Xenopus tropicalis: one gene and its partners. The protein of the gene in region 3 interacts with the protein of the main gene of each other region in a pairwise test. Links are inferred from orthologs where the notes say so. Each region holds a gene or a part of one and is shown on either strand. Other genes may lie near its edges. The genes, in order: shtn1, tchp, nme7, fosl1 and fkbp6.

Region 1 (4,356 bases), on a different chromosome or scaffold from region 3:
TTTCCGCAACCTCACACCAGCAGGGCATTTCAACCTCACCGCAGCAGGGCATTTCTAACCTCAGCGGCGGCAAGCAGGGCATTTCTAACCTCACCGCAGGCATTTCCCGAACCGCGGGGCGGGGTGTTTGTGTCAGCAGGGCATTTTCCTAACCGTGCTACCCAGCAAGGGCGGATATTTCTAACCTCACCAGCAGGAGGCGATGTTCCCGAACCTGAGCCTCGAGCAGGGCCATATTTCTAACCTCCGTACAGCAACGGCATTTCCAACCGGGTCACTCCCAGCAGGGCATAATTTCTAAACCTCACCGCACGCAGGGCATTCTTCTAACCATCACCCAGGCACCGGGGCATTTACTCTCAACTCTCACCCTACAGGTGCATTTTCCTAACCTCGGACCCAGCAAGGGCATTTTTCCTAACCTCACCCCAGCAGGGCATTTTCTAAACTCAACCCAGCAGTGCGCCAATTTTCTTAACCTCACCCAGCAGGCAATTTTTTCTACTCACCCAAGCAGGCATTTCCTAACCTCCCCCAGCAGGGCATTTTCTAACCTCACCCAAGCAGGACATTTCCCAACCTCGACCCAGCAGGGCAATTTTCTAAACCCCCCAGCAGGGCATTTCCCAACCTCATACTCAGTCCAGGGACATTTCCAAGCGCGCGCCAAGCAGGGGCATTTTTCTAACCTCACCCTGCAGCAGGGGGGTCTGGTGCTAATTTCCCAAGTTCCCTCTGGGTTGGGTGAGGGGTGGTTGGTCGCCAAGGTTATATTATATTGAGTGTCTTTGGGCGTATCACCGTCGAGGGGGGGGGGTGTTTGTGCTCTGGGTATGGGATGAGGGGGGCTGTAGGTGCCAGCAGTCACTATTTTTATGCCTTTTATTTATCTTATCACCCAGCAGGGGGCATTTTCTAACCTCACCGCAGCAGGGCATTTTCTAACCTCCCCAGCAGGGCATTTTCCTAACCTTCACCACAGCAGGGCATTTCCTCAACCTCACCCAGCAGGGCATTTTCTAACCTTCCGCCTCAGCAGGGCATTTCGCAACCTCGCCCACAGGGCATTTTCTACACCTCCCCCAGCAGGGCATTTCCCAACCTCACCCAGCGAGGGCATTTTTCTAACCTCACCCACAGGGCATTCCAACCTCAACCAGCAGGCTGCATGTTTCTAGACCCTGTTCTCTGTAGGCTAGCTGCGAGTGTATTTGTTGCTAATCTCAACCCACAGCGGGCATTTGCGTAACTCAGCCGCAGGCGAGCGGGTGCGATTATGTGCTGTTCTAACCTACGCCCGACAGTCAAGGGATTTCTAAACCCGCCTCCAGCAGGGCATTTCCAACCTCACTAACCAGGACTCAATAGGCAAAAGTTTATTTTCATCCCTTGAGTTAATGCCCTTATTTTTACTTTGTACTTTAGTCACTTCAGTAGCCACTGCCTAGAGTTGCACAATCTGTTATCCACAAATACCCCCAATCATTCTCAGTTAAGGATTCCCCCCAACTCGCTCCATGTAGAGTGGTATAGGGAGCTGGTGGAGATCGTATTTATGTGCTTTTATCTGGGATTTTCACTACCTAAAGGGGCAGAACTTTGCACTTGTCCCAATATGAACTCATTTCCCAGTTTTTCCAATTTAGATCCAAGTTTCCAGCAGCGAGAAGGTGGGAGCATTCGGCGTGTGGAAATTGTAGCAGTTTTTGTGAGTCTCATACGGTTCTTGTTTTCAACCTTCAGTAGATAAAAGGCAATTAAATTAGCCTGGCAAGATTTTTTACACATAAAACCATGTGACACAAACTAGAATTGTGATTTGCAATGTATTCAAGTACCCTATCCCTTATTACCCCTTCCAAAAGCTTTCCTACTACTGATGTCAGACTAACAGGCCTATAGTTTTCAGGCTGAGAACAGGATCCCTCTTTGACTAATGGCACCAATTCGCCAATAACTGTGCCCTGTCCTGCCATCTCAGGATGAACACGCTGTCCCTTTAAGAGAAGGATCAGAGGTGTCTCCTGGAAGCAGGACCCTGACAGGTTTTCCATGTTGGCATTTGGCTGCCACCAGTCCGTGGGCAGATGGAACAGGGAGATCACTTGTCAGGGTTGGGAGGGCCAAGCTCTGGGAATGTGAGACATTCTCTCCCACTCTCCCAATGTGCCGGAACGGAAATGTGCCAACGGGGAGAGCGGCACGGGCACTTTGCACCCCCAGTTCCTCGCGCTGCGCTCTCAATGTTTTATTTCTGGTTTGAAAACTTCTCACCTGATCGACCCTAAAGGTTCAACTTTGCTTGGTGCCGAGTGCTCTTTCATCCCATGGAAAGTGCCCAAAAATTTGGGAGGGGGATTTTATTCCCCAGTGTCGTGGATTTGTTTTTTGTGTTCTTCAGTCTCTCAATTTGTTCTGTTCCATCAGTTAAACAAAGAGAACAAGACCCTGAAACGGATTAGTATGCTGTGTATGGCCAAACTGGGCCCCGACGTCATTACTAAGGAGATCAACTTAGATGAAGAAGAACCATCGGCCGAAGAAGCAGAAACTTCTGTTTGCTCCTCACTGAGCTGCCAACAGAGAATAAAAGGTAGGAATATAGCGGGGTGAACTGTTACCAGTTATTGAGGGGTAGCTGGTAGTCGTCTTTATATAATGTGTAAAACCGGCAGTTTGTTATCCGGCTAAAGGGGCTCAGCCTGAAGGCCAGTATAGGGGGGATTTGGGGTGAGTGCTTATTGTTGCCCGGGTATCCCCTGGATACTATAGCGGGGTGAACTGTTACCCCAATTTTCTATATATCCTGTAACCTTGTTATGGCTAAGGGGGCCCAGCCTGAAGGGCCAGTATAGGGGGGATTGGTGAGTGCTTATTTTGTGCCCTGGGTACTGGGCCTGGAAACTATACCTGAGGCAGGGTGACCTGTGTACCTGGGGGGCTGTTTGTGTCTGGGCCAATGTTCTATTATATCTGGTAACCTTGTTTATGGGTCTAAGGGGGCCCAGCCTGAGGCCAGTTAGGGGGGATTTGGGTGAGTGGCGTTAGTTGTGCCCTGGAGTACCATCCTGGAAGCATAATGCAGGGTGACTGTTACATGCACGGCCAATGTGGTCTATAAGTATTCTGTAACCTGTGTGTATTTATAGGGGGGCTAGCCGGGGCCTACCAGCCTGAAGGCCGTTAGGGGGGATTTGGGTGAAGATGCTATCATTGATGTGGTTAACCCGCCTGGAACTATAGCGGGGTGACTGTTACCTTATTTTTTTCATTGGGTGGGGGGTTGTTTGTTCTCTCCGGCTCCAATGAATTTTCTATTAATTTTTGTAACCTTGTTATGGGCTAAGGGGCCCAGCCTGAAGGCCAATTGGGGGGGGAATTTGGGGTGAGTGCTTATTTTCCCTGGGTACCCCTGGAACTATAGCGGGGTGACTGTTACCCCAATGTTTCTATATATCTGTAACCTTGTTATGGGCTAAGGGGGCCCAGCCTGAAGGCCAGTTAGGGGGGATTTGGGGTGAGTGCTTATTTGTGCCCTGGGTACCCCTGGAACTATAACGGGGTGACTGTTACCCCAATGTTTCTATATATCTGTAACCTTGGTTATGGGCTAAGGGGGCCCAGCCTGAAGGCCAGTTAGGGGGGGATTTGGGGTGAGTGCTTATTTGTGCCCTGGGTACCCCTGGAACTATAGCAGGGTGACTGTTACCCCAATGTTTCTATATATCTGTAACCTTGTTATGGGCTAAGGGGGCCCAGCCTGAAGGCCAGTTAGGGGGGATTTTGGGGTGAGGGCTTATTTGTGCCCTGGGTACCCCTGGAACTATAGCGGGGTGACTGTTTACCCCAATGTTACTATATATCTGTAACCTTGTTATGGGCTAAGGGGGCCCAGCCTGAGGCCAGTTAGGGGGGGATTTGGGTGAGTGTTATTTGTGCCCTGGGTACCCCTGGAACTATAGCAGGGTGACTGTTACCCCAATGTTTCTATATATCTGTAACCTTGTTATGGGCTAAGGGGGGCCAGCCTGAAGGCCAGTTACGGGGGGATTTTGGGGTGAGTGCTTATTTGTGCCCTGGTACCCCTGGAACTATAGCAGGGTGACTGTTACCCCAATGTTTCTATATATCTGTAACCTTGTTTATGGGCTAAGGGGCCCAGCCTGAAGGCCAGTTAGGGGGGATTTTGGGGTGAGTGCTTATTTGTGCCCTGGGTTACCCCTGGAACTATAGCGGGGTGACTGTTACCCCAATGTTTCTATATATCTGTAACCTTGTTATGGGCTAAGGGGGCCCAGCCTGAAGGCCAGTTAGGGGGGATTTGGGGTGAGTGCTTATTTGTGCCCTGGGTACCCC
Region 2 (4,356 bases), on a different chromosome or scaffold from region 3:
CAATGTCATACTAAATAATTTAAGTATTAGTTTGTTACATGATAGAAAGAGTGGAATAATTGAGCTATAGTAGAATGTATATTTAATAAGGAACTGATAATTTAATTTCATTCATTTCAAGCTGGCAGAGGAATTGTTATATGAGCAGTGGAAAAAGAACAATGTAAAGTTGCGAGAGGTAAGTTAAAAGAAAATAGTAACAGTAAAAGTAACAGTTTTAAACATCATATGGTATTGGCACCCATGATCTTAAGATCCAAGGATGTGACATTTTGCATGCTATCATCTATTTTAAATCACTGGTTTTCCATGGTTGCTGGAATTGTTTATTGTTCAGGTCTATAGGCATTTTATAACCCTTTTTTAGTAACTTATTAATACTTATTTTTATTTACCCCTTTTTAAATATAATCTTTATTATAAATGAGATTTTCTTGCATGCAGTGTTTAAAAACAGAAGCCAGAATGTTAAAGGTAAACTTCCTCTTCAGGTTTTAAAAACCTGAGATACTTCCTTTTTCAGAATAAATTAATCCTGCATACCCTAAACTCCTGTAGTAGAATATCCTGTGAGTGGGTCTTAATATTGAGGTTGATGGACAGGGTAGGGATCCTGTGTGACTGTGACATTTATTTTTTATTCAGTACTGAAGAATACCTGTACAGCAATTATGAGCTATATATGCGTTGACAATTGTTTTAATCATTTTCTCATAGGTTGAATCCAGTCTGCTTAAAAAGCATGTGGTTGATGCTTGGGGTGAGCAGATCACAGTGAAAAACCAGGTAAGATAACCATATGACCTATTATTAAGTTGATGGCACACATTTTGTACAAGACTAGAAAAAAAAAAAAGGAATACAGCTACAATGCTAGGAATCTGATCTGTTCTTTTTATATAATCACTGCACATATGACACGTGTAAGTCGCCATCTCCCAAAATTGTGTAACACTGGGAGAAGCTCACAAAAGTGAAGAAATAGTTTTTGGAGTAAAAGTTGCATTAAAACTAGGGTAAATACAATCTGCCTATTCACAAACAGAAATAAACCTAAATTCAGACTTCTCAGAGAAGAAAAGAGTAGCTTATTTCCTGCATTAGGTGACAAAACATGTTTTAACATCACATTTGCATAATTTTCTAGTTTTTTATTTATGAATAAAGTACATATATTGTATAAACCTGAAGGGCGAAGACACACTGAGCAGCTACTTGTCTTGGCAACTAAATGGTAGAAATACCCTGCCATAGACAATACTGAGAATTGCCTCTGCTAAAACACACGTAGGGACAATTATCAGTAAATGATCAGCATTGTCTGTTTCTGTAGCTGCTATTGGTAGCTCTGTGTGTCTTCATCCTAAAGAGGAACTAAAGCTTCCCTGGCAATTTTTTAGTTTAAACACCAGTACACAGCTCCTTCCCAAATCATGTCACTGACACTTGCCCCATTGCATGTCCAGAACTACAGAGTTGCTTAGCAGTGTTGGCCACCACCTTTAGCTGTGTCACTTCTGTTCCCAATGTCCATCTTGGCGACCACCAAGCAGCGCTTGCACACCGACAGTCAAACTGTGATATAGGGCTACTGTATATTATCCTAGTTGATATCCATTATAGGAATGGAATTAATATGGCCAAAGATGGCATTGTGGCTCTGCAGTTCTGGATGTGCAGTGGCCCAGTTGATTTGGTGCAAGTTTTACTGATGTGGTTGGGAAGGGAGAATGGAGGATCTGTGCATTGGGCACAAAAATGAAAAAAAATTGCCACAAGGTTTTAGCTCCCTTTTAACAGGAGATAAAACCTAATGAGAATCTCTTGTCTGAAAGGCACATTATTACAAGGCAAATGTGCAGCTAAGAGTCACCTAATGGCAGACTGACAGGTTTAGGAAAAGCTTAAAGGAACAGTAACACCAAAAAATGAAAGTGTATAAAAATAATTACGACATTATGTACTGTTGCCCTGTGCTGGTACAGCTCGTGTGTTTGCCTCAGAAAGACTACTATAGTTTATATAAACAAAGCTGCTGTGTAGCCATGGGGGCAGCCATTCAAAGGAGAAAAGGCACAGGCACGTAGCAGATAACAGATAAAGCCCCATTATATTCTACAGAGCTTATCTGTTATCTGCTATGTAACCTGTGCCTTTTTTCCAGGTTGAATGGCTGCCCCCATGGCTACACAGCAGCTTATTTATATTAGCTATAGTACTGTTACTTTAGCAAATACACAACTTTACCTGTGCAGGGTAACAGTACATTATATTTTAAATACTTTAATACACTTTCATTTTTGGCGTTACTGTTCCTTTAAGTCTGATTCAGAAAAATGTTTTTAAAATGTCATACAAAAGACAAAATCTGGAAACTGTCTTTTTCAAAAACGAATGGTTTTATTTTTTCCCAATACCACTTTTGTGAATTTTCCCCCGTGTGTTATATCAGTTACCCATGGTAGTATCCCTTGTAGCACTTATAACAACTAGTGTAATCAATTTAGTTACACTCCCATAAAATATAAATAAGATCTGAACTGTGGCACTTTCCATATGATTATATGATTCTTGCTGGTACAACATTTTGTGTACATTAAAAAAAAAAATGAAAATATGATTTTATTATTATAAATAATAATTATTATTATTCTTTTTATTTCCTTTAAAGTTTAAATATCAACACAGAGAAGCATCTTTTTGCTTTAGGATTTCATAAGGATTTCACCATATTTGCTCCAAATTGCCATTCAGTGTAGTGTTAAATAGAAATAAATTTCTGTTTATGACATCCGGGGATGTTTTTTTCTATAGGCAAGCAATGCCATCTGACTTATGCCTATTTATTATTTATCCAAAAAAAACTCAGAAAAAACTTGTAAATATGTATGTAAATTAGAAAACATACAATAAACAACAATTTCCCAAACAGTCACAGTTGCTTTCTACTTTTAAGATGGTGTATATATAACAATGCAGGCCTTGTGACCTTTTCAGGAAAAAGAAGAGGAAGACGTGGAGAAAAAGAGATTTGAAAATGAATATGAAATTACTAGAAGGGAAGCTATAGAAAGGATGAAAAGGGATAAAGAGAAACGGCAAAAGCAGGAGGAGGAGCTTGCCGAAGTTTTGAGACAGCAAATGGAAGAGCTTAAGCTAAAGAATTTAGAGGTGAGGGCAGTAGGCATGGCATATATTACTTCACATTTTAGTTCCATATTTGTTTTGCAATTTTTGAGGTTCCAGATTTCACAGCCAAGAAACACCTAAAGGAAATCTAGTTACCTGGGGAAACATAAAAACTCCTTGCCTTGCTGTGGCTGGGAATGTACTTCTGAAATGTATAGATATATGTCCACACATTCATTCTACTGCCCAGGGCTATACTACTTGGCCTGATACCCAACCAGCTCGTCTGCAACACTCCTCCTTTTCCACCCGCCATGTCCTTATCATCCTCTTCGGTAGCCACTGCTGACATGTATTCCCACATCCCCCACCACCACCTTCTCCTCTGCCGCACTGCCTTAGTTGCTGCTGACGTTGCTTCTCCATATACCGAACTGTCCCTCATAGTTACTGCACCCTAGGCACTTGTTTTTCATGCCTACCCCTAGTTTTGGCCCTGAAGATTTGACTGCCACAATGCTCTCAGGGAGAAGTTCTGCTGTCGAATTACACTTCCCTCAAAATCCCACCTGATTTTGCTTCCTAAGACAAAATACTCTGCTTATAGCAGATGCCTCTTATGTAGTTAACTGTCCAGAAGAAACTCATTTGTGGGGAGTGCTTACCTGCTATTGGTAAGTAGGAAGTAAGATTGCTATTTGAAATTCCAATACAAGAAGTTATCTAGGTGTCCTATGATGGCATGACTTTGCATGAATTTATATGCTTCCCTTAGAACCCAGTTCTGGCGTATAGTGGTAATTCAGTAATGCCATCCCTATGTAATGTCAGGACTTGGTAATTTGGACTACAGGTGTTCTTTCAATCAGGACTTGGTAATTTAGCTATCTCCCATGGTTCCCTTGCTTCCTTTTTGAAACGCATTACAAGCTGATAAAACAAAAGTGTATCATTAATAATACACTTGTATGTTCTCCTACAGGCAAAAAAGTTGAAAAAAGAACAAGAGCATTTACAGAGGCAGCAGTGGGAAATTGAAGAACTTGAGGAGGAGAGGAGGAAAATGGAGGAGCACAGAAAGAAAACAGAATTAGGGTAAAGTTAAAGGAACAGTAACACCAAAAAATGAAAGTGTATAAAAGTAACTAAAATATAATGTCCTGCTGCCCTGCACTGGTAAAAGTTGTGTGTTTACTTCAGAAAGTCTACTATAATTTATATAAATAA
Region 3 (4,356 bases):
GGGTGGGCGAATCTTTCCATTAAAGGCCATTAAAAGGGTATGTACTTTGTGCTTTGACCTTCTTATCCTTCTTTTATTCTGTAACCCTTGTTTGTTAAATTATTGTAAGACCCTGGTTTGTTATAAATGATTGTAAAGTGCTGCATAACAGAAAACTAAATTATATGCATGTTTTTTTTAAATACTTTTCATCAGGAAATGTGTAGCACTAAGATCTACATTGTCTTTAATTTAGTTACTCTTATATTTTATAGTCCACTCTAAACAGCCTGCAGAATTGTGCCTGCCACAAAAGAAATGCCTATGTTGGCACAAATTTATGGTATCTTTTAATATGAGCTATTAGAAAATCCAGAGAGTTGTCCCTGCTATAGAGAGTGCCTGACACCTTTTTCTTGCTTTTTGTAACTGGATATTAACCCAGACAATAAAAGAGGGAGGGAAAGCTTTTCAGGAGCCAGCCTGAGAGACAGTGGCTAAAATTGCAGCTGATTACAGTAATAAATTCTCAAAAGCTTGCAGAAATAGAAAATGCTAATACATTGTTTTACCTAAAGCAAATGCATTCTAAAATATATTTATATTTTCTTTATTGCAGAACATTAGCTTTGATAAAACCAGATGCTGTAACAAAAATGGGTTCAATTATTGAAGCCATACTGGACTCAGGGTTTGTAATCTCAAAGGCTAAAATGGTTTTGCTCTTAAGGTAAATATTATGATAAAATTGATGCAGTTGTGCTGTAATTTCTTTGCATATTTTGAAATGAATATGTTGGAACTTTATAAATTATGGGTAATAAGTTAATAATTAGTTAAAGGGGTTGTTCACGGAACAAGTCGCCGGTGGAAAGGCCAGTGCATTGCTTCGGCTTTCCAGAGTCGCGTGAAGTTGCCTGCAGGAGGAAACTTTGTGCAACTTTGGAAGCCAAAGCAATGCGTAGGCCTCTCCAGCGGAGACTCCTGTTGTCGCTGGTGGAAAGGCATTTCGGAGCAGGTAGTCGCCACAGTAGCAGAGATCTATTGCGGGCGACTAACTCTGTGGGCCATCAGCCTTGAATTAACTTTTAATAGGATCTAGAGAGTGCTATTCCAAAACAGTTTACAATTGGTCTTCATTTTTTATTTGTGGGTTTTTAATTATTTAGCCTGTTGTTCAGCATCTTTCTTGAGTCAGAAGAGGAAGGCAAATAATTTAAAAACTATAAAAAAAAACCAAAAAACAAAGGCCGATTTAAACGTTGCTAAGAACAGTTCATTCTATAGCATACTAAAAGTTAACCTGAAGAATGAAGCACCCAGAGGGGACCAGATTTGGGTAAATTATGGAAGTCTTTTTCTAAAATGTCCATGTTTTCAAATCAGAAAGGTAGGTAGGACAGTTGTATCTGCCAGCCTATGTCCACCAATGGAGAAATACCTGAATCTGAGAACACTGCCTCCCTTTGACAGCACCACTGTAGATGTGTCCCATGACAAGAGGCGGCATGGAAAGTTTTAGTTAGAAACCAGTACATATTAAATTAGCCTCAGCTGGTAGTGAATGACAGCTATTGCCCTATTGTTTGTCTCATAAAGTTAAATTAGTATTTTTTTATCCACTTTCTTAAATCAGATCAGCCACAATGTTAAATACCAGTGTTTGTTTTTCCACCTTAATCAGCATTTATACCTCTCTTTGATGTGCTTTACTTTAATGGTGTCATTAAGCTCTAGTAAATTATATTAGCTTGCGGTTATTTCTCAGTGTGGTTCATATCAATTCTGCAAATCCACCCCCATTATATTAGCTGCCTAGAACTGGAAATGGGCTGAAAGAAACTGTCATAAGTTAAAGTACACAATACAGAGGGTAAGGCTGGACAAAGTGAATAAATTGTGTGTGTGTGTTTATACATATATATAAATAAAAATACCTCACACTGTCCGCACTCCCTTTAATTGTCCAAGATTCAAAGATAACGGCGTGGATAACGTACGTACGTACGTACGTACGTACGTACGTACGTACGTACGTACTTACATACACACAGTTTCTTTTCTTTACTTTGCTGATTTCACTTAAACTAGCTTAGATGTGTTATTTGGCCATGGGTGCCAAATCTTACTCATTCATCTGTATAGTGTATCCCCTAATGTAAAATATAAGACAAAATTTGCCAGGGGTAAAGAGGAAAAGAAATGCAGCTGTAACATCTCTTTATTCTTTTTTACAGAACTGAAGCAATGGACTTTTATAATGAACATCATTCAAAATCATTTTTTAGGTATGGTTTTAAAGTTGATCTACAGAAGGTAAAGTGGGATTAAAATTCAGTTGCGGTACACTGTGGACAATTTTGTCACCATATTTGACATATAAAGTCCCATTTACGACTGTGAGTGCAGTGTGCAATTTTTAGCTGCAATTTGCCATTTTTTTACCCACAACTTCAATGTCATTGTGGCTTGTCTTAAAGGAACAGTAACACCAAAAAATGAAAGTGTATAAAAGTAACTAAAATATAATGTGCTGCTGCCCTGCACTGGTAAAAGTTGTGTGTTTACTTCAGAAAGTCTACTATAATTTTATATAAATAAGGTGCTATATAGCCATGGGGGCAGCCATTCAAAGGAGAAAAGGCACAGGCACATAGCAGATAACAGATAAAACACTATTGTATTCTACAGAGCTTATCTGTTATCTGCTATGTAACCTGTGCCTTTCTCCTTTTTTCCAGCTTGAATGGCTGCCCCCGTGGCTACACAGCAGCTTATTATATAAATTATAGTAGTGTTACTGTAGCAAACACACCAGTTTTACCAGTGCAGGGCAACAGTACATTATATTTTTATTACTTTAAAGCTCTTTTATTTTTTAGTGTTACTGTTCCTTTAACCACAGTAGTATCTGATACAACAAAATTGAAGCAAGTGCAAAATTTCATTGTGGGGATTGCATTATTCAAATGGCATTACTGTGTCTTTTGCAAGTGTCTCTACATTTGTTGCACCTATTGACGCAGCCTGCTATGGGAACCTTGGAATAACTCAGGCTGTAGCTCAAGTTCCTTTTGTAAATATGCACACCTGTGAACAACCTGCTTATGGAAAAATATATATGCTTTGACATAGTTTTAGAGATTCTCTTTTATTATTAGGGAAGATTAAGGTATCCTAACTGGATGTTCATGTCCCTGTTTTGTTTGGATTTTTTTTATTTTGTTTACACCCCCTGGTGTTAGTCCACTTGCCTTTGCTCACTTAACCATGTGTCCTAGTGCCTATTTATAAGGCAATTATCATACAACCTGAGCATTCTCAAATTTGCAGTTTATCACATGCTTTCCCCTTCAACTGTACCCTTACACTTACTCTGGCCCACAGCTAATCCAACTTTGGCACACTATTTCAACTTGCTGCCTTTAAAGGGCATGTAAAACCCACACACAAAAATGTAATCAGTGAACAGCCTCTGAAATCTTTCAATACCTGCCACTCTGGTTGTCCAGAGGTTAATAGGAAGGCTGCAACATACCCTTAATCACTTAGATTTCCTTCTCCTCCTGAAACCCACTTGGGCCCCCTCCCATCAGGAATTTGCTTTGGCTATTGGCTTGTGGGCATGCTCAGTTGTTCTAAACTCAGATTACTAAACACATCCTTCAGACTAGCAGCCAGTGAAGAGATGGCATTGCTGGTTTCCATATAAACTCAGCTCTAGCTGTCTGCTTCTCTTTTTTTCTCCTAACCTCCTCTCCTGAGCTCAGCTGAATGCTGAATAAGGGTATGTGTGTGTATGCTGTTTGCAGATATAAATGTATCTGATTATGCATCAGAGGAAAAATGGCCACCGTGTGAAAGCTGCTATTTGCTTTAGGAAAATGTGATGGTGATGGAGGGGGATATATGCAGTACAAATAATGCCATTATGGTGGGGGTGACATGCCCAACTGATATACCTTGTAGGCAAATGTAGGCTTTACATGCCTTTAAAGATGCCTCCAGATCAGCCAAAAACAGTTGAGAAGGTCATGGACAGGCCCTCACTTGCTCCAATTGAGATTCATGCCTGTACTGCTACCAAAGAAGTTCTACTCACTAAACAACCTCTGTAATCCTAATTTCCACCCACCTTCTAATCCTTTACTGGCTTCATATAACACCACACCCACCACTAGTACCACAAATACAAAACAGATAACATTGGCCTCAGCATTCCATTACACAAGAAATTCTATATACCTACAGTATATCAGCACAGATATATCACTTTTCATTCATTTTCTGCTGATATATAATGTCAACACTCCTGAATTCAACCCCTATTCCAGTATTTTAAATCCTCATACACAAGTACTAATTTCTTTTATTCTC
Region 4 (4,943 bases), on a different chromosome or scaffold from region 3:
TTCAAACAGCTGTAGAAATCTCCTCCCTGGTCCCCAGTGGCAAAGGTCCCAAGTGAGCAACATGGTCCCCCCCATACCCCCAATTTTTGGCCTACCCAAAAATAAGGGCCTGCAAATCTGCACCCTTTTCGTGCTGATTTAGGCTTTGGCAGGCACTAAGAACAGGGCCTCATTGAGGCCTGTGTATGTCACCACTCACATCTAAATGATGCAAAATTTAGGGGAAATGTTGGGGATAAAAGGAGTGCCTATCCATATTAAATGCAGCTCTACTACACACAGACAATGCTGTATTTATCAGGGTGGTTGCATGACTCTAATGGAGCCAATGAAATATCTGCTAAAACAAAACTGCAAAAAGTGCATTAAAAAAAAAAGATAAAACGCAATACAATGAAGTCTATGAAGCCCAAGGGCCTATGGTTTGATGGCACTATTTAGATTTAGTATATTTGATAAAAATATACACTCTTTAAGGGAAACATTAATTTTCATTTTAGGGGTTACTTACTATCAATTTCCCTTATACTGTAGTCCGACAGAGCATTGGCTCCACTTCTCTCTGCCTGCATTTTGTAGGCAGACAGAGAGAAGCGAATCCACTCTCTTCCACAGCTCTGTGTAGCTGCACTGCTTTTGGCCTGAGTACAGCTACACAGAGCGGAGATCCACCCGAAAGACATGAAAGCAGCCATTTTTGGGCTCTGTGTAAGTGCACTAAGGTGGAAGCTGTGCCTGTCAATGCAGTTACATGGAGCTGCTGAATCTCCACCTGCCTACAAAGTGCAGGCGGAGTGAAGCAGATGCTCTGTGTGACTTTGGCCTTGACCAGAAATGCTTGGTTTAACTCCTCACAGACTCAAACAGTGGATGGGGAGACAAAACTAAGTTTCTGTTATGGATAAATAAGGGCGTAGGCTAAAATAGCTTCTACTCAAAACATTTCTCTCTCCCAATAAAGAACTGGAAAATAAATTTCAATAAAATATGACATTGTGATGGCAATGCATATTTTTGGATTAAGGCAATCACACAGAGGAATCTCTTGATGAAGTTTGTTACAGAAAAAACAAAGGAGATATTTTCTTACAGGTTTTTATTAATGTGCTATTATCAAAATGCACGTTTTCTATGTCAAGCATAAATCATATAAAAATATCTTTTTAATAAATACAGAGAGAACCTGCTCTACTGCTGCTTTTATATAGGAACCTACTAAAAAATGCCACTAAATTTAACACCGGCTCAGCCGCTGACTTTACCCTGGACCGTATTTAAGGTCAGGCAGTCATATACACACACTTTACTTGTAACCGTATAATGACAGGTCACGCATCTGACTAGAATCATTAATTGGGAAGTAATGTGGTTTCTTAAGAGAGGAAGTATGAGGTAAGTGATAGCATGCCTTATTAAGAAAGTGAATAAAATTCTATATAGAGTGTCTATAAAACTTTTGGGTTGGCGTAGATTTCTAACAGGTGAATCCAGACCCAGAAGCACACACAGTAAAAAATATATTTTTTCTTTTTTCTAAAGAGTCAGTAGGCTGTTAGAACTTAGAGAACATGGACTTTGCTCTCCACTACTACCACTGCTGCTGCTTCTGCTCAGCCTTCGGTGCGCTGTAGAACATGATTCTTGTGGACCAGGATAAGTGAATACCAAATTTGGCGTAAAAGGAGTAATGGATGGTGTCTTCATGAGTGTTGGGGTGTGAAGGGCCTCTGGCTCTAGGATTGTGTCGCTCAGCTCTATCCTGGGAAGGTTGACTTTAGGTCCCCTGGGTGACTCTTCATGTGGTTCCTTCTTAACCAGCCTGGAGGAGTCCACTTGCTGCATGTTGTGATGGGAGTCAGGAAACTTGCATATAGGCTGGTGAGCCTCAAGGATGAGTTCCAGCTTATCCTTCTGCTTCTGCAGCTCAGCAATTTCTTTCTGGAGGGATGACTTCTCTTCTTCAAGTTTGTCTGTCTCCTATTTAAAGTAAAAATGATATCAAGTATTGTATATTATGCCCACTTCTGTCACTTTAACCCCCAATTAGACCAGTAATTCAGGGATCCCCTCTTTTTTTTTATCCATGAGCAGCATTTCAATGAAAAAAGGTTGGGGAGCAACACAAGCACAAAAACTTTCCTAGTAGGTGACCAATAAGGACTCAGATTGATAATTTCGTAGCCCAATGTGGACTGGAAGAATACTAGAGGCACTGTTTATCAGTACACATGGTATTTATGCCTCCAAAACATGCCTTCAAGTCAGAAATTTAAAAATGGGCACCAACTTTGAGGCCACTGGGAGCAACATCAAAGGGGTTGGTGAGCAACATGTTGCTCACGAGCCACTGGTTGGGGATCACTGCAGTAATTCAACTACCCTATTTAACTTACTGCCTGCAGGTAATCTGTTAGCTCCTTGCGACGATTACGGCATTTTGCTGCTGCTACCTTGTTCCGCTCACGTCTCACTCGTCTTCGCTCCTCTTCCTCTGGTGACAGCTGTGAGAAAAAAAAAAAAGAGATAATAAATCTGTTACCCAATTTATGGAAGTGTTGTTATATGTGTGTAAGGGAGCTGGTTTGGCACTGCCACTTCCCACAAAATACCTTTATTATGTGTCTAAGGGGGTGGCATGAATGAATACTGCCTGCCTGCCATGCTCATGAATGAAGGGATTGGCAGTGACTGTGACCCTATGAGTCAGGCATTAATGTTTATCCCGCTCTTCAAACCATGGTTTGGCACGCACCACTAGGCTCTCTTTCCCAACCTGACTCATTCTACTGTTGGTGAGTCGCCTAATAACTGTTTCCGCTGCATGTGTAATTAGGATTTAAGTAGTGATCATGTTCTCTCAGCCTCATAATATAATTGGCAAAATACTATTGTTTTAGCCTCGGAAAGAAAACAGTTAACTTTTAAGGCTTATATTTTGGTTGGGTAAAAAGTATTATGTTTTCTATCAATTTTATTATTTCAATTCATAATAATTTTAAATGACATGTATGCTCAGCTTATTTAAAAGGGACAACAGTAAAGTAAATCAAAGTATTATTAATAAGTCGATAATGTGCATACTTACATGTTCTCCATTTCTCCTTCGCCCCATACTCAAGACTCCTCCCATGTTACGGATTACCCCATGCCGAGGGCTTTGGTATGGTGGTAAATTCAGGGGGCGTACACTTGGTTGGATCATCCAGTTAAGGTCCTGACTTGATGTGATAGCATTCAATGTTGGGATAAATTGACCCGAGGATGTGTGAACTGGATACTTCTGTAAAGGAATTTAGGAAGTTAAAGGTAAATTTGATTTATATGCATATTTGGTTGATACTTATTTGAAAAAAAAAAAATGTGTGCGTTATTATGAGTGTTCACATGGTTATGATTAACTAGTAGACACAGATATATATAATTCCATTGATTTACTGGATGAGTTATCAGAATTAACAGGGGTGCAGTTTAAAAACAGTTGATATTAGACTGAAAATGAATTTATAGTATGCAGATACTTGTCAGAATAAAGTGCTGCAGCAATTCTCTCTCTCAAGTTTTATATAAACTGAAGCTTAAAATTCCAGTCTTTAGGAAAGGAAAGTGAGTGACAAAACAATCTCCAGATTAAATTGTAGTTTTCCCCACAGAACAGAGTGGTATTTTTGAAGGATAAACTATATTCTGGTTTCAGCTAGATCACTGCAACCAATAATAATTGTACATTGTTCAAAACCGGACACTAGAACCTGAGTGCCAAAATGTAAAAAAAACAACAAAAACTGCCGCTAGGCTGTCAGTGGAAAACCAATAAAAAAAATATATTTATTTTTATAAACTACAATCCAAACCTCAGACATCTTGAGTTTTTTTTTCTAAACTCTATACTAAAGTGGCTTACTATGGCAATGAGAGCTGGATTCTTGCCTGTACTGGGTATCAAAATATAGATCATCCCTGTATAATCTAAAAAGTGATGTGGTAATGGCAGACTCTGTTAATGCCTTTAAGAGGGGCCTGGATGAGTTTTTGAACAAGCAGAATATCCAAGGCTATTGTGATACTAATATCTACAGTTAGTATTACTGGTTGTATATATAGTTTATGTATGTGAGTGTATAGATTGGTTAGTATAGGTTGTGTGCTGGGTTTACTCGGATGGGTTGAACTTGATGGACAATGGTCTTTTTTCAACCCTATGTAACTATGTAACTATGTACTGCACCAAACGTCTATACTTCCTGCATGTCAGGATTTCAGAAACAACCATTGAATTTAATACCATCCTCTTTAGCCTAATAATTAATGTGTAATGAGTATAATTTAGCCACCATTAATGCTGAGTAACAAGACCTGCTTGCCATGTTAAAGAACTGCTCACAGATGCCATTTACATTTTATACAGCGATGATGCTTGATAAAGTACATTTTCAAAGGAGGGTGTAGACTGTTTAGGACATTCTGTACCAAGCATGTCATCAGCAGAATTGACTCAGTCACAAACATATGTTACCTGCAGCTAAAATTCTTAGGTACATCTTAAAATGTATGAGCACCTACCTCAATGTTGCCTCTGACAGTAACAGAAACGAATGGAGTTATTACTGATGAAACAAAGGCGTAGGCTAAAATAGCTTCACATTTTCTGTCTGTATCAGGACTTGTCCTGGTTAGCCAAATCTAATCCTTTTATGGCAGCATGAATTGGCTGCATTGGGCGGTAAAGTCTGCATGAAAAGAGCTGTTTTGGGGCCATATGAATTTATACAGGTGACTTGTCCTAAAGCGTCAGAACAAGACATGCATGACACATGCAGTAAAACTATGTGCAAGAGACTTATAGATGGGAAAAACAAAATACAAACGAGGAAGAGTCTATTGCTGGCTCTGTGAGCAGGTATTGGCAGCATTTTCACTACTTTCTCTTCAGAAATCTCAAGAGG
Region 5 (5,057 bases), about 13 Mb from region 3:
GCCACATTTCTTAGATAATTAGTTAGAAAATTGACAGATGTGAGTGGTGTGGGAGAAGTGCCAGCTACCCCTGCAGTCTCCTGGAACCTCAGATGTCTAGGGCCTGTGGGGCAGTCTGTAAGCGACATACTGGAATGGCTGCTAGAATGCGGGCCTAGCCTAGCGTTTACCATTTCCTTATTCAAATGTAGCGCCTTCTCTATAACAATTAACATACAAAGCTATATGGCCTCTTATGCCTCTAAAGCCTTCATGAACTTGATGATTTTTGTGGTAAACTTTTTATTTTAAATGACACTGTTTACATAGCAAATAATTCACTCTGTCATTTAAAATTTTATTTTTAAACCAACATTTAATTAGTTGTAATATTGGTGTGTAGGTGCCATCTCAGTGCATTGTGCCTGAGTCTGAGCTTTCTGAAGGAGCCAGCGCTACATATTAGAACTGCTTTCAGATAACCTATTGTTTCTCCTGCTCCCATGCAACTAGAGTCTTTCAGAAGAAGCCAGCGCTACACATTAGAACTGCTTTCAGGTAACCTATTGTTTCTCCTACTCCCATGTAACTGGAGAACTTGGATTTCTTACTATTGAGTGCTATTCTGATACCTACTGGGAGCTGCCATCTTGCTCCCTTCCCATTGTTCTGCTGACCAGCTGCTAGGAGGGGGGGATATCACTCCAACTTACAGCACAGCAGTATAGTGTGGCTGAAGTTTATCAGAGCACAGGTCACATGGCTGTGGTACCCTGGGAAATGAAGAATATGGCTAGCCCCATGTGAAATTTCAAAATTAAATATAAACAATCTGTTTTTGAAAAACGGATTCCAATGCAGGATTCTGCTGGAGAAGCTCTATTAACTAATGTGTTTTGAAAAAAAACATGTTTTCCCATGACAGTATTCCTTTAATAAAATCCAGCTCAAGGTAAAGTACCTGCTAGCTAGATGTAAGGGGGTGGGGGCTTTGAAGGGTATATTTATATCCTCATATTAATATGCACTTCATATAAATATGCTTACACACAAACTGACTGCCCTTATGAATAGAGCACTGTATTGATGGGGTACACTCAGGTCTCTCTGCTACTTGTGTTGGTACTGTAATTATATGCTACAGCAGTGCAATTGCAAACGCCATAGCGGCTGCTGTGAGATGCCATAGACAGTGGGGGGGGGGGGTTGTTTGGACCCCTGTGATCTTGATATTTCAAGGCCTATTTTCATTTTAACCTGGGTAGAAAAAAATGTTTACTTTAGCACAAGCTTTATAGCACTTTAGGACAACAATTTCGCCTGGACTTTCACTGATTTACTTCCTAAATGATCTCCCATGCCCCACAGGCAAAGGCTTTCTGTTTGCCCATCCATGGCATTTCACTGGTACTTTCTATTTCCACTCCACCTACTAACAGTTTCTCAAAACATAACCAACTTCATCTTCCAGGCCAAGTGTGGCTCTCCATGGAATCCTATTACTGCGCGGCCACAACTAGCTCTCCTGCCCCCAATCATCACTTTGTAGGACCTCCCTTCAGAGCCGCTAACATACAGCTCACGTTGATTGGTGAGACGCCTGTCACATGACCAGGCCCGCCCAAAGAGCAAGTCTGAGAAAAGACCGCGGGGGAAGAAACATGATGGTGAGAGCGGCGGTGTTACCGAGTGTGTGGGACACGGGCTGTGGGGATGTGTGGCCGTGTAAAATCCCCACAATATATGCTTAGGAAAGCGCACAGAACAAGTTTGTCCATTAGGAACAATCGCATTTATAAACACAGCTTTCCTTATGGAAATGGAAACTTAGCACCTGGTGCAGGAGGTTAATGCCGGCAGTACCTGCGCCTGTTTGTCAGTGATTGGTACTTGAGGATAACATGTCTGCAAGAATTTATAGAATGTACATTTACAAGAATGTAAAATTTGATTTTGAACATAGGAATGAAGTTTGCCCTTGAATAAGTAAAAGGCTTTCAGAGTTATTAATCTACAAGTTTTCCAGAAACCACTTCCAGTGTAATTAGTAAATGTAATCAAAGTTTTAGTAAGTGCCCTAGTTACCCAGTGTGTCTCTTTATATAATTATATTACACATTAGATGCACCCCAATTCTACATTTAGGGTTCCCACATTATGATGTACTTGGAGCCTAGGAGAAAGCAAGTATGGGGTTCCTTATCCAGAGCCCATTATTAAGAAATGTCAGTATTATGGAAAGACCATCTTTCATAGATTCCATTTTAAACAAGTTTTTTTTTTTTTTTTTTAATCCTTTTTGTCTGTAATAATAATACAGTGCCTTGAACTTGATCCCAACTTGGGATCCCTATTGTAGGTGAACAATCCTGTTGGGTTTATTTAATGTTTAAGCTTTCTGGATAACAGGTCCCATTCCTGTATAATGTTCTGTGGTTGCTCGTACGCTGCCTGTGACTAGTTGTTAAAGCATAATGTGCATGAGTGAGAGCGGCCATTGTATAATGTACTGGGCTAACCAGTAGAAAGTAGTGTTTCTGTATATTGTGCTGGTGTTTTAGCCTGGTGTTGTCTATGAAATTAGTATATGTAAATATGGATTGGAGGCATTTTTCACCCATTTGCCATGCCCAAGAATTTCCCTATAATTGTTATAGGGAGCAGTATGTAAGTGTGTCTCATATTTTCTGCAATACCTTTTAGAGTTGTAGAGGAATTGTGGAACAAAAGATGCTTCATATAAATTCACATTAAGCCACTGGACACAGACAGCCCTGAATAAAATAGTACTGAATGGTGATGTTGGCACAGCTAGCATATCTAATGTTATACCTATTTGCCTATTAAATTGATTTCTGATCGCGCTTTTTAAGATGACAATATTTGGCAAGAGTCGCTTGTTTGGTGAGTTTGCCAGGCTCCTTGGGACAAACGATCAGGTTGCAATCACAGGAATAGGACCGTTGAAGCAAGGACCCCAATGCAGTCCCTGTTTCAAAGGAAAATTCAAACCTGCTCGATTGACACCTGGGCAATTTTCGCCACCTTTAGTGTCTCTGACATTTTAAACAGGGACTTGTCAAATATTTGACAATAAGACCTGCATCTTTAGGCCATCATATTTATACATTACGCTAATGGCACACAGGGTTGTGCAGAAATTCATTTCTCATTCATACAAGTGGTAAAAAATTCCCTTCCTTTTCCCTGTGTCTCAGCCCCTGATGGGATATTACATTGTAAAGGGAACATTTCCATTCTTCTAGCATGTTGCAAGTGGAAGTTATCCGTGCACCTTTCCAAATAACAATCTGGTTGCTGGCCTGGTAATCAAAAAGCAGATTGGGGCTGGAGGATATATTTTTTTTTTTTTAATTTGCTAATTTTTATGGCAATCTCCTATTTATCATTCTTTCTGACATTTGCACATGCCTGTCTGCTCTGGCCAGTGACAGCTTTAATATCCAACTGGAGAGAGAACAAACAAAAAAAGGTGAACTTTACCATTTTTTCATTGCATTTAATTTTTGTTTGTTCACCAAGCACCTACAGATGTATATCTTTCTGTCTAAGACCTAAGTCCTGCCGCACATGGAGTGTATGATCCACCAGCAGAGAAGTTTAAAATCGTGGCTTTTCAGTCTGTTATTTAATGAAATGAAATTGGTCACCTCGGCCACCTTTGTCACCATCTGGAAACCATCAGTGGAGAATCCGCCAAGTGTGCCGTAGGCCAAAAACCATTGTGTACTGAACAGTTTACCTCTTGTACTCTAAAGCCCAATTTCACCTTCAGTGGCTGCACCCATGGTTACACAGCCGTATATATAAGTGGAGTAGAGCTTTTGAAGCAAAAGCAGGAATTCATTGATCTGATTTGACCTTAAACCTTTTAAATAAAAAGTTCATGTACTGTAGATTATTGTTTTCAGGGGTATGTCTTGTTACTGATTTGTTATTCTGTAAAGCAGAACCATCTTTTACTGACCGGTGTGCTTTCATTGTAGTCTGTATTTCATCAGCTGGCACAGCAAATGGAAGATGTATCTGGAGACAGAGGGGTGCTGAAAGAAGTGATTCGGCCCGGAAAAGGAGGGAAGGTTCCCTGTGATGCAACAGTAATACGTAAAAAGCTCCTGCAGTACCATATTTACATATAGAAACTGGCAAGCCCTTGGACATATTGCTATATAATAGATATATGCATTATACTATGATATTGGTTGTTTCTGTTAAGGACGGTAAAGACCCTTTACAGTACAATTTCAATGAGCAGGACTTGTGCTGAACATACTTTTTTCCTATTATTTTAATAACAAAAATGTTTTTTATGATCTTTTAGATAATCAGATTCCCAGTGCACAGATAATCCCTCTGCATAATGGACATTTGTTTATCTGTGGTATGAGAATCTAATTATCTGTGATGTACACAATGTCATTTATCTCTGATGGCCCTGGCACTACCATAAAATGTCATCAATATTTAAAAATAAATGAGTCGCCATGGAACTTTATAAATGGTGTGTTTTTAGCATATATTTGTGTGTATTGACTAATGTAATGTGTAGCTGGTTAAGGAGTCCTGGGTTCTTAATGCAGCACTTGATGTTTTTTCAGTCAAGTACTCTGGTTACTTGGAACATGCTGACAAACCATTTGACACAAGTTGCTACAGACGTCACCCCAAAATGATGAAGTTAGGTGAAGGTAAGAAGAATACACACACAGTCTGTTGTACTTACTGACACATACATCTGTATGCTCCTTAAACTGAAGAGTCACAAGGTTAACCATTTGTCAGCATAACCCCTCTCTGATGTAGCCATTTATGTTTAGGAGTAGGTAACTTCTTTACATAGGTTACCATTGTTCCAAGGGCTGGGAGTAAGCCAGAGGCATGCAGCAGACTAGAGCAGTGATCCCCAACGAGTAACTAGTGAGCAACATGTTGCGCACCATCTCCTTGGATGTTGCTCTCAGTGCCCCCAAACCATGTAGTTATTTTTGAACTCCTGACTTGGTGGCAAGGTATGGTTGAATAGAAACAAGATTTACTAGCAAATAAAGCCTCATGTA

Evidence for each region.
Region 1: the proteins of nme7 (region 3) and shtn1 interact in binary tests that used the Homo sapiens proteins (3 or more experiments, as listed by UniProt). The two-hybrid records come from large-scale screens. The link is inferred for Xenopus tropicalis from reciprocal best matches to the Homo sapiens genes NME7 and SHTN1.
Region 2: the proteins of nme7 (region 3) and tchp interact in binary tests that used the Homo sapiens proteins (3 or more experiments, as listed by UniProt). The two-hybrid records come from large-scale screens. The link is inferred for Xenopus tropicalis from reciprocal best matches to the Homo sapiens genes NME7 and TCHP.
Region 4: the proteins of nme7 (region 3) and fosl1 interact in binary tests that used the Homo sapiens proteins (3 or more experiments, as listed by UniProt). The two-hybrid records come from large-scale screens. The link is inferred for Xenopus tropicalis from reciprocal best matches to the Homo sapiens genes NME7 and FOSL1.
Region 5: the proteins of nme7 (region 3) and fkbp6 interact in binary tests that used the Homo sapiens proteins (3 or more experiments, as listed by UniProt). The two-hybrid records come from large-scale screens. The link is inferred for Xenopus tropicalis from reciprocal best matches to the Homo sapiens genes NME7 and FKBP6.

What each region holds. Positions count from the first base shown.
Region 1 is NC_030683.2:5,248,837-5,253,192, forward strand, and holds part of shtn1 (shootin-1), read left to right. Parts: intron 1-2,427; coding exon 2,428-2,593; intron 2,594-4,356. UniProt on the Homo sapiens protein: Involved in the generation of internal asymmetric signals required for neuronal polarization and neurite outgrowth.
Region 2 is NC_030677.2:147,324,315-147,328,670, forward strand, and holds part of tchp (trichoplein keratin filament-binding protein), read left to right. Parts: intron 1-121; coding exon 122-178; intron 179-717; coding exon 718-786; intron 787-2,997; coding exon 2,998-3,171; intron 3,172-4,111; coding exon 4,112-4,224; intron 4,225-4,356. UniProt on the Homo sapiens protein: Tumor suppressor which has the ability to inhibit cell growth and be pro-apoptotic during cell stress. Inhibits cell growth in bladder and prostate cancer cells by a down-regulation of HSPB1 by inhibiting its phosphorylation.
Region 3 is NC_030678.2:55,292,550-55,296,905, reverse strand, and holds part of nme7 (nucleoside diphosphate kinase 7), read left to right. Parts: intron 1-598; coding exon 599-709; intron 710-2,216; coding exon 2,217-2,267; intron 2,268-4,356. UniProt on the Homo sapiens protein: Possesses an intrinsic kinase activity. Displays 3'-5' exonuclease activity with a preference for single-stranded DNA. Does not seem to have nucleoside diphosphate kinase activity.
Region 4 is NC_030680.2:37,719,615-37,724,557, reverse strand, and holds the end of fosl1 (fos-related antigen 1), read right to left. Parts: intron 3,281-4,943; coding exon 3,086-3,280; intron 2,502-3,085; coding exon 2,394-2,501; intron 1,978-2,393; coding exon 1,534-1,977; 3' UTR 1,080-1,533; downstream 1-1,079.
Region 5 is NC_030678.2:41,854,883-41,859,939, reverse strand, and holds the start of fkbp6 (inactive peptidyl-prolyl cis-trans isomerase FKBP6), read left to right. Parts: upstream 1-1,659; 5' UTR 1,660-1,747; intron 1,748-3,986; coding exon of another isoform or gene 3,987-4,013; coding exon 4,014-4,104; intron 4,105-4,598; coding exon 4,599-4,688; intron 4,689-5,057. UniProt on the Homo sapiens protein: Has an essential role in spermatogenesis. It is required to repress transposable elements and prevent their mobilization, which is essential for the germline integrity.